Linked DNA regions of Astyanax mexicanus. The protein of the gene in region 2 purifies or fractionates together with the protein of the main gene of each other region. This does not show direct contact. Links are inferred from orthologs where the notes say so. Each region holds a gene or a part of one and is shown on either strand. Other genes may lie near its edges.

What was found. Proteins that work in one complex are often made in the same cells at the same time.
Region 1: the proteins of snrnp70 (region 2) and larp7 purify together in Homo sapiens (affinity purification with mass spectrometry; 3 studies listed by BioGRID and IntAct, counting the BioPlex papers as one, with this or other methods). This does not show direct contact. The link is inferred for Astyanax mexicanus from reciprocal best matches to the Homo sapiens genes SNRNP70 and LARP7.

Annotation. Positions count from the first base shown.
Region 1 is NC_064415.1:28,221,104-28,228,859, forward strand, and holds the start of larp7 (la-related protein 7), read right to left. Parts: upstream 3,174-7,756; 5' UTR 2,883-3,173; intron 1,548-2,882; 5' UTR 1,546-1,547; coding exon 1,338-1,545; intron 1,176-1,337; coding exon 1,075-1,175; intron 969-1,074; coding exon 885-968; intron 802-884; coding exon 637-801; intron 530-636; coding exon 424-529; intron 9-423; coding exon 1-8. UniProt on the Homo sapiens protein: RNA-binding protein that specifically binds distinct small nuclear RNA (snRNAs) and regulates their processing and function.
Region 2 is NC_064426.1:20,935,758-20,944,179, forward strand, and holds the start of snrnp70 (U1 small nuclear ribonucleoprotein 70 kDa), read right to left. Parts: upstream 3,715-8,422; 5' UTR 3,518-3,714; intron 2,647-3,517; 5' UTR 2,640-2,646; coding exon 2,493-2,639; intron 1,311-2,492; coding exon 1,248-1,310; intron 1,130-1,247; coding exon 1,075-1,129; intron 980-1,074; coding exon 915-979; intron 1-914. Other genes in the region: E3 ubiquitin-protein ligase RNF113A, read left to right, coding at 5,272-5,374, 5,754-5,833, 6,673-6,771, 7,871-7,978. UniProt on the Homo sapiens protein: Component of the spliceosomal U1 snRNP, which is essential for recognition of the pre-mRNA 5' splice-site and the subsequent assembly of the spliceosome. SNRNP70 binds to the loop I region of U1-snRNA.

The DNA.
Region 1 (7,756 bases), on a different chromosome or scaffold from region 2:
ATCTTCATCTAAAAGAGGAGAAAGAAATTGGTGCTGGATTTAAAAGTTAATAAAAAATTCTGATTTTCGGAAAGATAAATGCATCACTAAAATTTATGTGCACCAGATTGTGAAAGTCAAACGCACTCTGAATTTGGTGTGGAAAATATTTCTCAAAAATATTATTAAATAATATTATATCACAATATTACCCTCTGTGTGTGATTTATTAAAAGAAATGGCACTGAACAGAGTACAATCTTGTGCAAGCTTTGTTGTTAAAATGTGTACAAAGTGATATATCATAATTTAAAACCTCAGAATGCCTATTAATGCATCCTGGGAAACAATACGACATGACTTCAGTGAATATTGTGTATTTAACAGATCTAAGGCAAATGTACATGTGTTGCCAAACAATTTGTGTTTCATATGGAAGGGTACCTTGTGTGCTATCCTGTGCTGTACACAAAGGGACAGGATTATCTGTTAAAGACTTTGGGAAAATGCCTGCCTTCCTTGGAGCATCCTCTGGAGGGTTGTTCAACATCTATGAAATAGAAGATATTGCGTAAATTATTGAATTGTAAAGTTAGCTTCTAAAACACAAAAATGTAACCCAATAATTTATCATGTGAAGTAGAATCCAATACCTACCTCTATGGCTTTTTGTGCTTGAGCATCTGTCTCAAACTCCACAAAAGCAAAGCCCTTGGGGGACTCTGAAATCTTGTACCTGGGTATACTGATGTACACTACATTCCCACACTTGCTAAACACTCGTTCTATCCAAACATGGGTCACATCTTTTGGCAGGAGTTCCTAAACAGACACATAAGTTATGATCAACTGACAGATAAACATTTACAGATAAAAAATTAGCCAATAATAAAAATGATGTTTACCACATATACTGTGCGGCTGTCGATATCTTGAGGTTTGTCCCCCAGTTGATTTTTACGTCTTATTTGAGTTCCTTTGAGATTAACCTGACAAATAATAAATCCAAGAATATCAAGTGAAGGCACAATCATTATTACTATCATTACTATCACAATCATTATATATTTTTTTTAACATACAGGCAATTCTTACCTCTACCACAGAGGAATTTGTGAGAGCTCTCGCTATTAGTTTAACATCTGTGGTCAACTTTTTCATTTTATTGAAGGTTGTTAGAAGAGATATGTCAACATCTGCAAAACAAGACCAAAACGTGCAATGAGTTTATGTTTAAAACAACTACATGGATTTGACAATAGATTTAATACATTCTTTTTATTAATGCCGCTTTAGACACTCATCAATCAAAGACAACAATGACAGTCATTCTAAAACTTGAGGTAATCTCAACTTACAACCATCTCTTGATTTACTAATGACGTTCTGTAAAAATTTGTCCTTGTGAAGGTTCACATCATCAAACCAGAATTCCACTTGTTTCTTCACATCTGCCAACAGCTGTTTCACCCGAGACCTCTTCTTTTTCTCATTATCCTGCTTCTTTTCACTGAGCTCCTTGGCCTTCAGGTCTCCTCCAGTCGACATGTTCTCGCTGTCTGTCATACCTGGAATTTACAGCAATAATGCAAAAACAAATTTATGTGTGAAAAACATATATGTGTGAATAAAATGATGATGATGATGACGACTGTTATTTGTTATTTTTAAACAGAACTCCATCACTCCAGAGAACTTAACTAAGGTCATGTTTAAAACCATTAACTTATATTTATGTGGTACACAGCACATTTCATTAATTGCTTTTCTATTTGGATTGAACAAGCTGTATGTGTGTAAAAAAAGGGGTATCCACAAGAGAATTTTCTTGTGTATGAATAACCAATTCCCCGGAAAGAGAATTCAATAAAGCATTCAAAAAATGTAAACATAGTTTTGCCAGAAGCACTGTGAATCATAAGCATAACCAAGCTCTGTTTTAGACCCAGTCACTTAACTCTGGACAAACTTGCCAAAGAGACTTTAAGCTCATTATGTGATTGTGCCCCATTAGACTGGAAATGCTTTTCTTGGTGTGTGACTCAACACACAAGGAAGGGTGACTGGACATAACTGGACACTCCTGGACGTATAGTCGATTTCTGTACAGACATTCATTGTCAGACTAAAATGACAATATTGATACCTAAATATTAAAAAAAAGAGATCATCAATTGAATGAAAATAATATCAGACCTACAACCTGTAATGACACAAAAAAATACTCTGGAATATAATCAAGAGGAAGATGGATGACCACAAGCCATCAAACTAAACTGCTTGAATATTTGCATCAAGAGTGGCATAAAGTTATCCAAAAGCAGTGTGTAAGACTGGTGGAGGAAAAAATGCCAATATGCATGAAAACTGTGATTAAAAACAGGGTTATTCCACCAAATATTGATTTCTGAACTCTTAAAACTTTATGAATATGAACTTGTTTTCTTTGCATTATTTGATGTCTTTTTATTTTGTTTTTTGTTATTTTATCTATTTTTCATTTTCTGCAAATAAATGCTCTAACAATATTTTTATTTGGAGTTTGGTAGAAATGTTATCCGTAGTTTATAGAATAAAACAACAATGTTCATTTTATTCAAACATATACCTATAAATAGCAAAATCAGAGAAACTGATTCAGAAACTAAAGTGATCTCTTTTTTTTTTAGAGCTGTATATAGACAACGCTGAGCAATGAAGATTCTCTATTGGAATATGAGTGTAGTAGTACAGGATCAGGGTACTGTACTAGTATTTTCTCTGCTCTAACACGTTAATCATGTTCATCAGTTCGCTCTCCTGAACTCTGTGTGTTAATCACTAACAGTAGGTTGGGTAAAACAGTGAAAAGACAGTAAAAGCACAGGGCAGGAGCTGCAGCAGGTAGAGCAGCTGTATCTCACCTGATGGTCGAGCCGAAAGCGCCAAACTCAAAGCAGCACCATCCCACTCTTCACTGCTCTCTGCAGACCGGGTGTTCAGTCTAACTGCTCCTCAGCGATCACATACACAATAAATCCGTTCTAAAACAGACCCGCCGGTACACGGGGTTATCTGCTGTGTTTCTGCGTCTCCTCGGGTGTTTTAATGATCAGAATCAGCTGCAGGAGGAACAAAAACAAACCCTAAACTCCGGTGTGGTAAGTTAGCTTCGGCTAGGCTAGCGAGGCTAAGCGTGCAGGACTCCGGGCGCACACTGATGACCCAGTAAAGAGGTTCCCACCCCGCCACGCTTTTACCACGCCTTCACCTTAATTTTTTTTATACTGATTAGGTTGAATATAACATGTAAGAATGTTATTCTTTGGTTTAAACTGTAATATATCTACTGTTAATCATATTTTGAATATTTTTTCCCTTTTTGGGAAATAGTATAGTATCTACACAAATCTAACTTCTTAAATTCTGTCATCCTGTTCTTTAAGGTTTTCTTTACCTACGTATATATATCTTATATTTATATATATATATAAATATATATATATATATATATATATATATATATATATATATATATATATATATATATATATATATATATATATATATATATATATATTTCCTGATTCACTAGTGTCTTGAAAACAAATTACAAAATTTGAGAAATTTACAAGAAAGCATTTACAAGCTACGTTGCATTATATTAGGTGTCCACCAGGCGTCTCCAAAGTGTTCAAAACCTCTCCAAGGAAGTGCCAAGGAAGTAAATCTGTCATTAAACAACAAGAGTTTAATATTTTTTTGTTTGTTTGTGACAAAATAATGTTAGTCCATTTCAGAGTAATATTAATATTAATAATTTTTAAATTAAATTAAATGACACACAAATCCACACGTGTGCGCGCTGTGTGCGCTCTGAAGTTCAAAGTTTTTTTTATTATTATTATTGGTTGAAATAGGTGTCAATCACTTTTATTACCCTGGAGAAAAGCTATGACCTGATTTGATTGGTCAGCTCTGAACACCAACGTGATCCAGCCCTCACGCTAATATTTGACATATTTGTTTGTGTTAATCAGTATCAGAAACAGCTCAAATAAATTAATTAATCAATATAGCACTCTCCCGAGTTTTTTCTTTTATTATGCAAATTACGACTACTTTTTGAAAAACTAATAGAATAGTAAAAAAACACCAGTCTTGCAATCCTCCCTATTGCTAGATATGTGTTGACTATAGTTGATACTAAACTCTAGTAAAGTTACTGTTAGCTAAAGCTTCAAATGTACAGAAATGTATGGAAACCGCTCAAAGCAAATAGAAAACTACCTGGGAAAGACCTGTCACTATAAAACATCTGTTTTTCAACTGTTTCACTGGATCGTAGACTCCATATGTTTTTCCACTGATTTAAAGAAGGTAGGCTCTATATGTTTTTCTACTGGATTAAATTATGGTAGACTCGATTTTTCTACTGATTTAAAGGACGGTAGTCTTTCTGGATTTACTGGTTTAAAGGTTGGTAGGCTCTTTATGTTTTCTACTTGTTTGAAGCAACAGACTGTATTTTTTTACTGTTTTACAGGATAGGAAAACTAGCATCTAGACTCTATTTGTTCCTCTTGTTTATGTTTTTCTAATGGTTTAAGGAAATGGTAGACTTTATATGTGTTTCTACATTTTAAAGGATGGGAGCTCTATCTGTTTTTCTGGTTTAAAGGATGGTAGACTCTATCTGTTTCTCTGGTTTAAAGGACGGTAGACTGTATCTGTTTCTCTGGTTTAAAGGATGGTAGACTACAGCTGTTTCTCTGGTTTAAAGGATGATAGACTGTATCTGTTTCTCTGGTTTAAAGGATGGTATATTGTATCTGTTTCTTTGGTTTAAAGGAAGGTAGACTACATCTGTTTCTCTGGTTTGAAGGATGGTAGACTATATCTGTTTCTCTGGTTTAAATGATGGTAGATTATATCTGTTTCTCTGGTTTAAAGGATGGTAGATTATATCTGTTTCTCTAGTTTAAAGGATGGTATACTATAACGGTTTTGCTGGTTTAAAGGATGGTAGACTGTATCTGTTTCTCTGGTTTAAAGGATGGTGGACTCTTTCTGTTTTTCTGGTTTAAAGGATGGTAGATTATATCTGTTTCTCTGGTTTAAAGGATGTTAGACTCTACCTGTTTCTCTGGTTTAAAGTGTGGTAGATTATATTTGTTTCTCTGGTTTAAAGGATAGTAGACCATATCTGTCTCTCTGGTTTAAAGGATGGTAGATTCTACCTGTTTCTCTGGTTTAAAGGATGGTAGATTCTACCTGTTTCTCTGGTTTAAAGGATGGTAGATTATATCTGTCTCTCTGGTTTAAAGGATGGTAGACCATATCTGTCTCTCCGGTTTAAAGGACGGTAGACTCTATCTGTTTCTCTGGTTTAAAGGGCGGTAGACAATATCTGTTATGCTGGTTTAAAGGATGGTAGATTCTATCTGTTTTTATGGTTGAAAGGACGGTAGACTCTATCTGTTTCTCTGGTTTAAAGGATGGTAGACTGTATCTGTTTCTCTGGTTTAAAGGACTGTAGACTATATCTGCTTCTCTGGTTTAAAGGATGGTAGACTATATCTGCTTATCTGGTTTAAAGGATGGTAGACTATATCTGTTTTTCTGGTTTAAAGGATGGTAGACTATATCTGTTTCACTGGTTTAAAGGATGGTAGACTATATCTGATTTTTTTGTGTAAAGGATTGTTGATTATATCTGATTTTCTTGTTTAAAGGATGGTAGACTATCTGTTTCTCTACTGGTTTAAAGCTACGTCATCCGTTTGCACAGCCACAGAGCCAACCACATTTCTAGACCTGCAGTTTTAGATTTGCATTTTCAAGCTAGTACATGTAAGGCCATAGAACCAATGAGACTCAGCAAATTGTACAACAGAGATTAACTGTAATTACTTTCATTGGCTAATCAAAAGTGTAAAGTACCTGTTTAATGGTTTAATGGAAATTGGAAAAAGGATATCTCATGTACACTGTAAAAAATTTGAACACTTTAATTTATAATCCGTAAGCAACAAATTTCCTTTTTTTTTTAAAGCTAGTACAACTTTATGGCTCATTTGTTCTCTGCACTTACACAATTAAGTTGACCTAACAAGTCTTAAATGTTTGCTTAACTTAAATTATCGAATCACTTTAACATAGAATTCATCATAGTTATTTTATCATTATCTAATATTTTAAGTTGGCTGAACTTAATATATTTACTCACGGTAATCGAAAAATATATGCTAGACTTGCCAACTAAAAAATGTGTTAAAATTAGTTGCTAAAACATTTTAAGTTAGATTAACAAACTCAGAAGTGTTTGTTGTACATGTCAACAGAAAAACACTACTAAACTAAACAATTTTTATAAACATATAGAAAATAAATATTCATTGGCTCAATTTAACAAATTTAGCTTTGACTTTGAAGTTTTGATCACACAACAGTAGTTTAATTAGCTCAACAGTTTTTTTCAAGAATTGTTGGCTTTAATTATTTAAATATGAAAGTATTTCCAACATTTTTAACATATTTTTATAGAACTAACATACTGTGACAATTTAGACCACAGAATAAGAGTGATACGTTTTTAAAGCCTACAAACACTGAGGCCTGGCAATCAACACTTACATTACACTGAGAATGCATGACTAGGATAAGGTACCTTTGGGCAACAGACAACACAAAGATAGTAAATAAAGGAGAGGCCACACCCAAAATGCTAATATATGGTGCCAGGAGCCTATAGGAAAGCTGTATGAACCCTACTGTGAAAAGAGCATTGACACGTGTGGTTTACTAAAAGTTGGTTGAAATCAAATGTTTTCATTGGCTCAATAAGCATTTTTAAGTTTTCAGGTTGAAATTGTCTGAACTCATTTTATTGAGTTGTACTGCCCGGTAAATTCACTCAACTTGCTAATATTATTTCTCCTGACTAAACCACAAAATCACTTTTTAGAGTGCATGCGGAAGTGCCTTAAATATCAAGCAAGGTAATGCTGCAGACTGGAAACCGAAATGGGCAAGGATTTGAGACGAAATTGTTTTTTGGAGCACTCACCATCATGATGAAAGGCAGAATACTTGCCTTATATATCCCCAGTCTTCAGTTGTAGGGTGTGTTGGGATTAAAGTTGATGCTGATCAAGGGTGAAATTACTGTTATCTAAAGTTTCAAGCGTTTAAAAACATTAGTGGAAAAGGCTCTAATATAAACCTTCTGGGAAAAACATCTGAATGAGAGAAATGTATCTATTAACTTTTACACATTGATTCTTTTATAAGAACTTTTGCAAAACTCAAGTTTTTTTGGCTGGTTTTCAGTATATGTTTGTATGTCAGTGGTATCTGCTAGTCAGCATGGGGTAGGTGTTAACTTCTTATGTGGAGACGGTAGAATTGATTTTAATTTGACACCCATTCTCCCCACAGTATCCACTAAAATTGAAGACTAACCCAGTTAAAGGGTATACAGAAACACAGGGACATGGTGATGTCACTGGCATGGGTGTGTTCCCATAATGCATTGGGGTGCCTTTGGTTTGTATTTAGTTAATAAGAAAATACTTTTAATTGGAGGAATGTTGGGCAGGTGTTGTGGTGTTAGTCTGTGTTGAAAGAGTGTTTTAGTGTGGTTGTTTTTTGTTTTGTTTTATTGACTTTTGAGCACTCACCATCATGATGAAAGTGTTGCTGTTATTAAAGGCTCTAATTTTAAAAGGTAAATACTTGAAAGTGGAAGAAAGAAACTACGAACTACTATTGCACTGACTACTTTACAAAAGCTTAT
Region 2 (8,422 bases):
TAGTTACTTTGAAAAAGTAATCCAATTACTGATTACTGATTACTCCTTTAAAAAGTAACATAGTTACTTTATGGATTACTTGATTTTAAAAGTAACTAAGTTACTTTACAAGTTACTTTATTAGTTACTTTCAGCAGCTGCAGACACCACCTCCCGCCGCCTTAACATAAACATTATAACCAGTTTTGCCAATATTCCCTTTATTGGAAAATGCATTTTTAACAGCAACAATTTATCTCTATTAAGTTGAACGATTTCCTAAAAAAATACGTTTTTCAGACGTTGTCCAATACGGACCCATACCGGACCCAACTACTGAGAAAGATTTAATTCTGACAGTGTTCATTTAAAGCACCGGAACTTTTCTTGTCTTTACGGTATACGCGCAGTGAACTTCCAATCACGTGTGGTGTAAAATCTTTAAATGCTCTCCTCTGCCAATCAAATTTGTGGCAGACCGCTGCCCTGGCTAGTGAATTGGGACGCGGCCGCAAAAAAACGCTTTAATAAAGAGATAGGGCGCAGAGAACTGGCGAAAAACGAAAACGGGCAGAAACTAAAGACACGCCGAGCGCGAGAGAGAGAGACAGGGGAGAAAGCGAGACGCGTGTGATTGGGGAAGAGCGGAGGGGGAATGGGTAAGGGAGCGGTGTGTGTGTGTGTGTGTGTGTGTGGAGGAGATGAGGTGGAGAGACAGAGAGAGAGTAACGCACAGTGACTTAAATAAGTAACTTTAATCTGATTACTGGATTGGAAATAGTAACGCGTTAGATTGCTCGTTACTGAAAAAAAGGGTCAGATTAGAGTAACGCGTTACTAAGTAACGCGTTACTGACATCACTGATTAATATTGTGTCTAGAAGTCTAGAAATTTTAAAATAATCAAAAAAAAGGAAAGGACAAAAAAAACTTACAACTCGAGCCACAAACAAGGTCTTGAAAGCATCTCCTTGGGCATTTGGATCATTATGAGGATCCCCTGCAAAAAGAAATGAAAGAATGAAGTCGGACTGAGTTGGTGCTCAGGCTGGAATGTGTAACTCTTAAGATCCTTAAAATACATTGCATACTTACACAATTTCAGCTCTGTCTCCACTACCGTTTGCCGCCTCTCCATTTTCTCACGCCTCTGTGAAAAGAACACGACATACAGTCATTAAGATAATGCCAGAAAACACAGACAATGTGTCTCACTAGTCCTTGTTAAGCTTTTTTTCTATCATATAAAAACATCACAATATTCTCACCTTTCTCTCCAACCTCTCCTCGCGCGTTTCGGCTCTTGTGGGTGGCGGTGCATCTCTAGGGTCCTGATTGAAAGGAAGGATAAAGATTAAAAACGCAACACAAGATTAAAATAAAATTAATTAATGACCTGTACAAAACCATTACAGTTGATTTACAACTTATCACAGAGGAATCTCTCTAGTTGATGAGGAGCTAAGGTTTTTAAAAATAGGTAAAAAGATTTATATGTTAAGATCCTAATAAATATTAATAATACGGCAATACCTCTAATGACTAGTGGTTTTGTATATAGTAAATGGAGCTAAATGCTAAACCTTCAAATTAAAAATAATAATTTACTACTTGTTCTGAGTACTTCTTTAATTTCAGTAAAAGCAAAGAAAGCTTGCCTATATATTTTAGTTTATCTACAGAAAAAAAGCTTTTACACTGCAAAAGCACTAGCATTACTGGTACTGTGAGCTGATTGGTTGGCAAGCTGAGCCTCGATATACAGGTAGTGCACATTTAAAAGGCTTAAAATTTATGTCTGCTGTACTGAAACATTTGATTAATAGATCCGTGTTGAAGACAGTTATAAAAAAAATAAAAATAAATAAATAAAAAAAGAAATTTTTAAAGTCTGATTTTGCTCAGTTGCTTAATATGAACATATTCATGTTCGACACATTGCAAGTGTGTTTTCTCCTCTATGGAGATTCTCTGGCATGGCATCGCTAGTTCTCATGTGTGTTTAGTCCGGGTGCGCACGAAAGGAAACGTGTTTCTGGAAAGCAGCCAGGTAAGTCTGTGATTTCCCACAGCAAAAAAATTTGCTGTTTGAGATCCGGTGTAGACATTCAGTTGTGTAGTGTCTCAACAACAAGTCGTGTAGTGTGAATAACGCAGGGATGTGTTTTGGACCAATGGTTTTCTCTTTCTCCATGATTTCATTGCCAGTATGTAGCCGCTGCTCCTGACTCCCAGTCGCAGACTGGGTCAGATATCTAGCATGCCAAATACTTGCTGTGAGTCTAATTCATGTTACACAACTGTGCAAGTGCTGAGAGATCCCTGATTTGGCTCTGAGCAGACTTTTTGTCAGCAGTCAACAAAAAACTGTTGGTGACTGAAAAACTGGACTAAAACAGGGTAGTGTGAACCTGGCATAAGTGTTCACACTACATAAAGTTACCTACAAGTGTACTTACATAACATTAAGTACCTACAAGTGTGGCATAACATGCAATTTTACTAATTCATACCTCGAAGTGCTTGATGAAGGGAGCGATCCCAGAGTACGGCTGGTTGTGGTGTTTTTCATGGGGCAGCTTCTCCAACTGTGGCAGAAACGGAATGGGGTCCCGCGGGGCAAACAAGGCCAGCAGGTTTGGGGGCAGAAACTGAGTCATTGTTCACCTAAACAGAGCAGAGAAATGGCCATTTAACAATATTACACAATATTACGATTAAATGTCATTACATTGTAGATTAGGCCAGCAAGGAATTCACAAAGAAACTAAAAACGTCAAACTCTAAAGAACAGGGTCTGAGACCCACTGCTTGATAAAGGTATGGGCCACAAAGAGACTACAGAGACCAGACAAGTAAAATCAACACTATCAGAGAAGTAAACAACCCAATTCCTGTGAGGTAAAAGTATCAATTCAGAACCCAGTTTGGCTCATTAGACACACACAACATTAAGATAGTAAATTAGCGCTAGCCAGCTAGCTTAGCATTACAAAACTCAATACAAGCAAGCTAAGCTAGCTAACACAACACATTTAATCTACATGGATAAATTTAAATTATTTACTCAATTAATTAAGATAAATTAATCCACCAATACAAACCTACATTTAGTGTAAATCCATAAAGAGTACCAAACTGACGCTGAAACCTATATATGTTAGCTAAATAACCTATGTGTGTGGTAGCTAGCGTAGCGCATAGGGCTTGGTTGTGCTAGCTAGCAGCTAGCCATGTTTAAATAAGCGAGCAAAAGGTGCGCCCTCGACCAAGGTCCCTTACTAGTCTGCACTTAGCTAACGCTAACTCGGTTCCAACTAATACTCTTTTTAACTTAAACTAGCAAACATACACTTTATAAGCCACATCATGAAGACCACACGCACCTACTCCGCTTAACTAAAACAAAATATAATTAAATAAAAAAAATTCTAGCCAAACGTGCCCACTCCCAAAGCTTTCTAGAATTTAGTTCACAAGAGCGCGTATTGGAGCACAGCCCGCTTTCTCCGAGGCCTCGTGTCGGACATTAAATTACCTCAGCTCCGCATCCAATCCGCGCAGAATCTCCGAGCTCCGCAAAATAACGACTTCAGCAGCTCCCACAGAGCCTCCCAGTGTAGACTGTTACTGTAACACCAGTCTGTACTGGTCGCTTTCACTAGTTTCGTTACTGCTCAGTTCTCCAGCTCCTCTCCGCGCTGCGCGCTCTCTCAAAATGGCGCCACGCCGTAAATCGCTACAATTCATGAAGGGGCATTGTTTACGACAGTAGTTCACAGTTGGCGGCATTACTTGGCAACGTCAGAAGGTATCAGTGTGTCCCAATTCAGGGGATGCACCCTTCAGAGGCCGTATTGGAAGAATCCTGCCCCTAAATTGGCACACGATGTTTCTGTATTTATTTTTTCAGTGAGACGTATTTTATCTTTATTATGTGTTCAGTACCTTAAATTGTATATGTTGTAATTGCATGTGCGGCATGTCTTGTATTTTTATTTATAAAACAATTACATAAACTGTTTATTTGTACATATGTATGTATTGTATCATTAAATTATAAAATATAAAAAATAAGAGACCATTTAAAAATGAAGAGTTTCTTTGATTTTACCTAATTAACAACCCCTGGATTATAATCAAGAGAAAGATGAATGATCACAAGCCATCAAACCAAGCCAAACAACTATAATTTTTGCACCAGGCATAGCATAAAGTTATCCAAAAGCAGTGTGTAAGACAGGTGGAGGAGAACATGCCAAGATGCATGAAAACTGTGATTAAATAACTACGGTTATTCCACCAAATATTGATTTCTGAACTCTTAAAACTTTTTGAGTATGAACTTGTTTGCTTTGCATTAGTTGAGGTCTGAAAGTTCTGCATCTTTTTTGTTATTTCAGCCATTTCTCATTTTCTGCAAATAAATGCTCTTAATGACAATATTTGTATTTGGAATTTGGGAGAAATATCCATAGTTTATAGTATAAAACAACATTTTATTTAAACATTCACATATAAATAGTAAAATCAGAGACACATATTGAGAAACTGAAGTGGTCTCTTATTTTTTTTCTTGCTTTCTTAACGATTTTTATATTTTTATACTATATTATCTTATCTTCCTGACCTCCACTCATGCGATGGCACTTCTTCTTCATCCTGCTCCTCCTCCTCCTCCTCCTGTCTAGCAGCTGCCAGCCTAGAAGCCAGGCTCTATCTAGTCAACCCTTAAAAAATTTATGGTATTTAAAATAGCAGTTTCCATGCCTGGATAGGTTTTGGAAAACTAGAAATACCCAGAAAGGTTTGGTAAAATTAAAATTTGCAGGCTACATATGTGTGTTTTCATTTATCGACTGAGAAAAGCTATTTTGAGCTAACAAATATATCAGCTCAGAGTTAGTTCTGTATAATAGCCTTACACAATGAAGCTCTCAGGATCTGACACACATTTTATTATTATTATCATAAATTGTGTGAACATTACTTTTTTTTTATTTATAGTTTTAGTTGATTTTTGATTGTATTGTCCGCACTGATGTTTTAAAGATTGTATAGACATGACAATTTGCCTTGGAGACATGAAAAAGTCCTGAAAATGTATTGGTTAAAAAGTGTATAAACCTGGATAAAGTTACAGTAGGTATAGCGCTGCCACAGGCCTGAAACTGCTGCTGTGAATCCGCTGTCGTATATCCGTGCAGTTCCTCTCCAGGCGGCGAGAGGCGCTGTGTTAAAGCTGTAGCTGCTCTTCTGTCTCTGAGTGTAGTTTATTTTCATTAGTTAAAGATGGCGGAATCCGAGGAGACTAAAGCGACCTGCACGTTTTTGTTCAAAAAATCCAGTAAGAAGTTTTCAGCTCGGAAGAGAAAAGCCAGCGACAGCGACAAAGGTAAACTTTATTAGGCGGTTTTTACTATTTTAGTGAGTGTAGAGGGGTTAAATCTGTTATAATACAAGTAATAAATGCTGAGGAGGAGGCGAAGATTGAGTATTTCATATGTAACGTTATGTGTTCTGTTCCTCCGCGGACAGCGCAGCCTAAAGACTGTAAATTATTATGAATATATCTTTATATTGTGTTTATTTATCTGTAAAGTCCGGACGGGTAACTTAGAGCTAGAACAGAACCACCGCTCTGTTTAAGGTGGAATGAGAGATAGAATTAAGACGCAGCTCCATATTTATATCCTCGGTTTTAGTCAGTGTTTGGTCTGAATATAGAGTTTACTCCAGAGAATCAGGCTCAGTAACTCTGCTCCCTGTGTCAGACAGAAGCAGTGATGAGGAGAAGAACGCCGTGGTCAGAAGAGAGAAGAAACCCGTCTCTGCGAACCCCATGTTCCAGAGGGTGAGTGCACTAATCCAGGTCTTTATGGAATACAACGTTGCCAGGTCCAACACAAATATCCAGCCTAAATCAGTCTAAAACCCGCCCTTCAAAAGCTTAAACTAGCCCAAAATATATGTTTGAAGCAAATGGCAAAACAACCGTGAGGTTACGACTTAGTATTTTTTTTATTTAAGGGATTTATTATCAGTATTGCTGTTTATCTTAAAGTAATTAATAATATTGTGACATTAGTGTTTTATTAGTTCCTTTATAACAGTTCTGTATCCCAGTTAGGAACATTTAATAGTAACATAAGTAGCAAAAAAAATTACTTACTCATATCTGTTCCTGCCCCTCCTGAACTCTCTTCTCTCCTATTTTAACGTTTTCTTCATTACCTGGTGATTTCTGGTTACATTGTTAACACCTCTAAATGCGTTATTTTTTGTGCCTGGTTCTGTAACATTGGCCTCTATGAATCTGTGCCCAACTCAGCACAAAGTTCCAATAAAATGGCTCTTAGGAACCTAACTCGGCTCATTAACCAGAAACCAGAATCATCATTCACCAAAAAATAATAAAATCTTCATCAAAACAGGTTGTCGCATATTTGTCTAGGGCTAGGTCTTTGGGTAATGCCAAAAATTTCATAACGACAGACAGTGCATTTTTCATTTACATATCTGCCTTAGATATAACAGCATATCTAATGTTTTAACAATACAGTGTGTGTTAGTAATTTATTTTGTTAATTAGTGTGTTTTCTATTTGCTTTATTATTTTTGTGACTCTGCTTTGCAAGTCCTGTCTATATTTTATGGTTTTAGTTCATTAACCAACCAAAATCCCTGTTTCAGACAAAGAAGGTGGAGCGGGAAGCCGTCTCATCAAGTGAAAGTGAAGAAGACAAAGAAGCCAAAAAGATCACAGTGGCTTATAAATCCACCCGCTCAGCGGTAAGAAAACCTGCCCCAAGAATCAGTATTATGTTTAATTGCTCTTTTTTGTGTTCAAAGGAACAATCAGTAATAAATGGAAACGAGTGTGTGAAATTGGGGTGGGCGATATGGCTCTAAAATAATATCATGATATTTCAGAGTATTTTTACGATAACGATATACTTGGCGATATAGGAAAACTAAAATAATTCATTCATTTCAGGAATATAGTATAATAGTATAACAGAATAATCATAATGTGGCAAAATAAATTATATAGCATAAAATAATATGATGCTGCAAATATTATTGCAGAATATTTAGAGCATGCATATAAACTGCAAACTAAAACAATTATACAATAAATACACCTTAAGCTTCACAGTAAATAATAGACTTCTTTTAAGACAGAACAGCCCTATTATCACGATATGTATTTTTAATATCATGATATTTCTGTGTCAGGATATATTGTATACGATATAATATTGCCCACCCCTAGTGTGAAATAGCTTCAGGAGTTCAATTTTCAAACATTGGAGAGAGTTTTCTGCCCCACCCTCTCTTTCCCAAATGTTGAGCTCGCGCGGGTTGCAAGAACAATTGTCGACGAGTCTCACTGTTTAGCTAATCAGCACATGTATACATTTGTTTCATTGTTCTAAATGCCCATCTATACTACTCTAGTGGTGGTGGTAAATATGCTTAGCAACCTTACTAGAACTCAGTTCAGCCAAAAAAGTAACCAGCCTGTCCATTTCCATTTCACAACCCTGAGTGTGGAAAAGGGAGTGGGGGAATGGAAGTGGGTAGATTTTAATGCAAACTCCCACATAGATTTCCATGAGGTACCAAATAATTAAAATATAATTACAGCCTTATGCTCTGCTCTCAAGAGCTGCCAGTGCTGTCAGAGTTACTATGGAAAATCTAATCCTTAATGCTTTTTTTAAAATGGTATGTTATTCATATTATTGTTTTATTATATTCTAATGCATTCAACCTGCGTTTTTACATGAGCAGTTATTATGATGATGATTTCTTCTTCTTCTTCTTCTTCTTCCTTTTTAATTCTGTTTAAACTTTGCTGATGGGCTGATTTTTATATGTGAAACAGAAACCTGAAGGGCCAGAGGACATGGGGGCAACAGCTGTGTATGCACTGGACACAGAAAAAGACAAAGACGCTCAGGCCATCTTTGAGCGCAGCCAGAAAATTCAGGAGGTGAGGAACAAATCTGTCAGTGATAACTGAATTTGTAGTTAATTTCACAAAAAATTCTCTTCATCTGTTATGCTCCTGTGCATGATATGTATGCTATTGTAAATCAGTTTATAGAGTTTATAGAGCTGGGCGATATGGGGAAAAGGTATTGATTGTACCATGATATTTAAAGATTTTTTAAAGATATGCAGCTCTGGAAATAAGAGACCACTTAAAAATGATGAGTTGAAAAAAATTGAAATTGAAAACCTCTGGAATATAATCAAGAGGAAGATGGATGATCACAAGCCATCAAACCGAACTGAACTGCTTAAATTGTTGCACCAGGAGTGCAGGCATAAAGTTATCCAAAAGTAGAGTGTAAGACTGGTGGAGGAGAACATGTCAAGATGCATGAAAACTGTAATTAAAATCCAGGGTTATTTCACTAAATATTGATTTCTG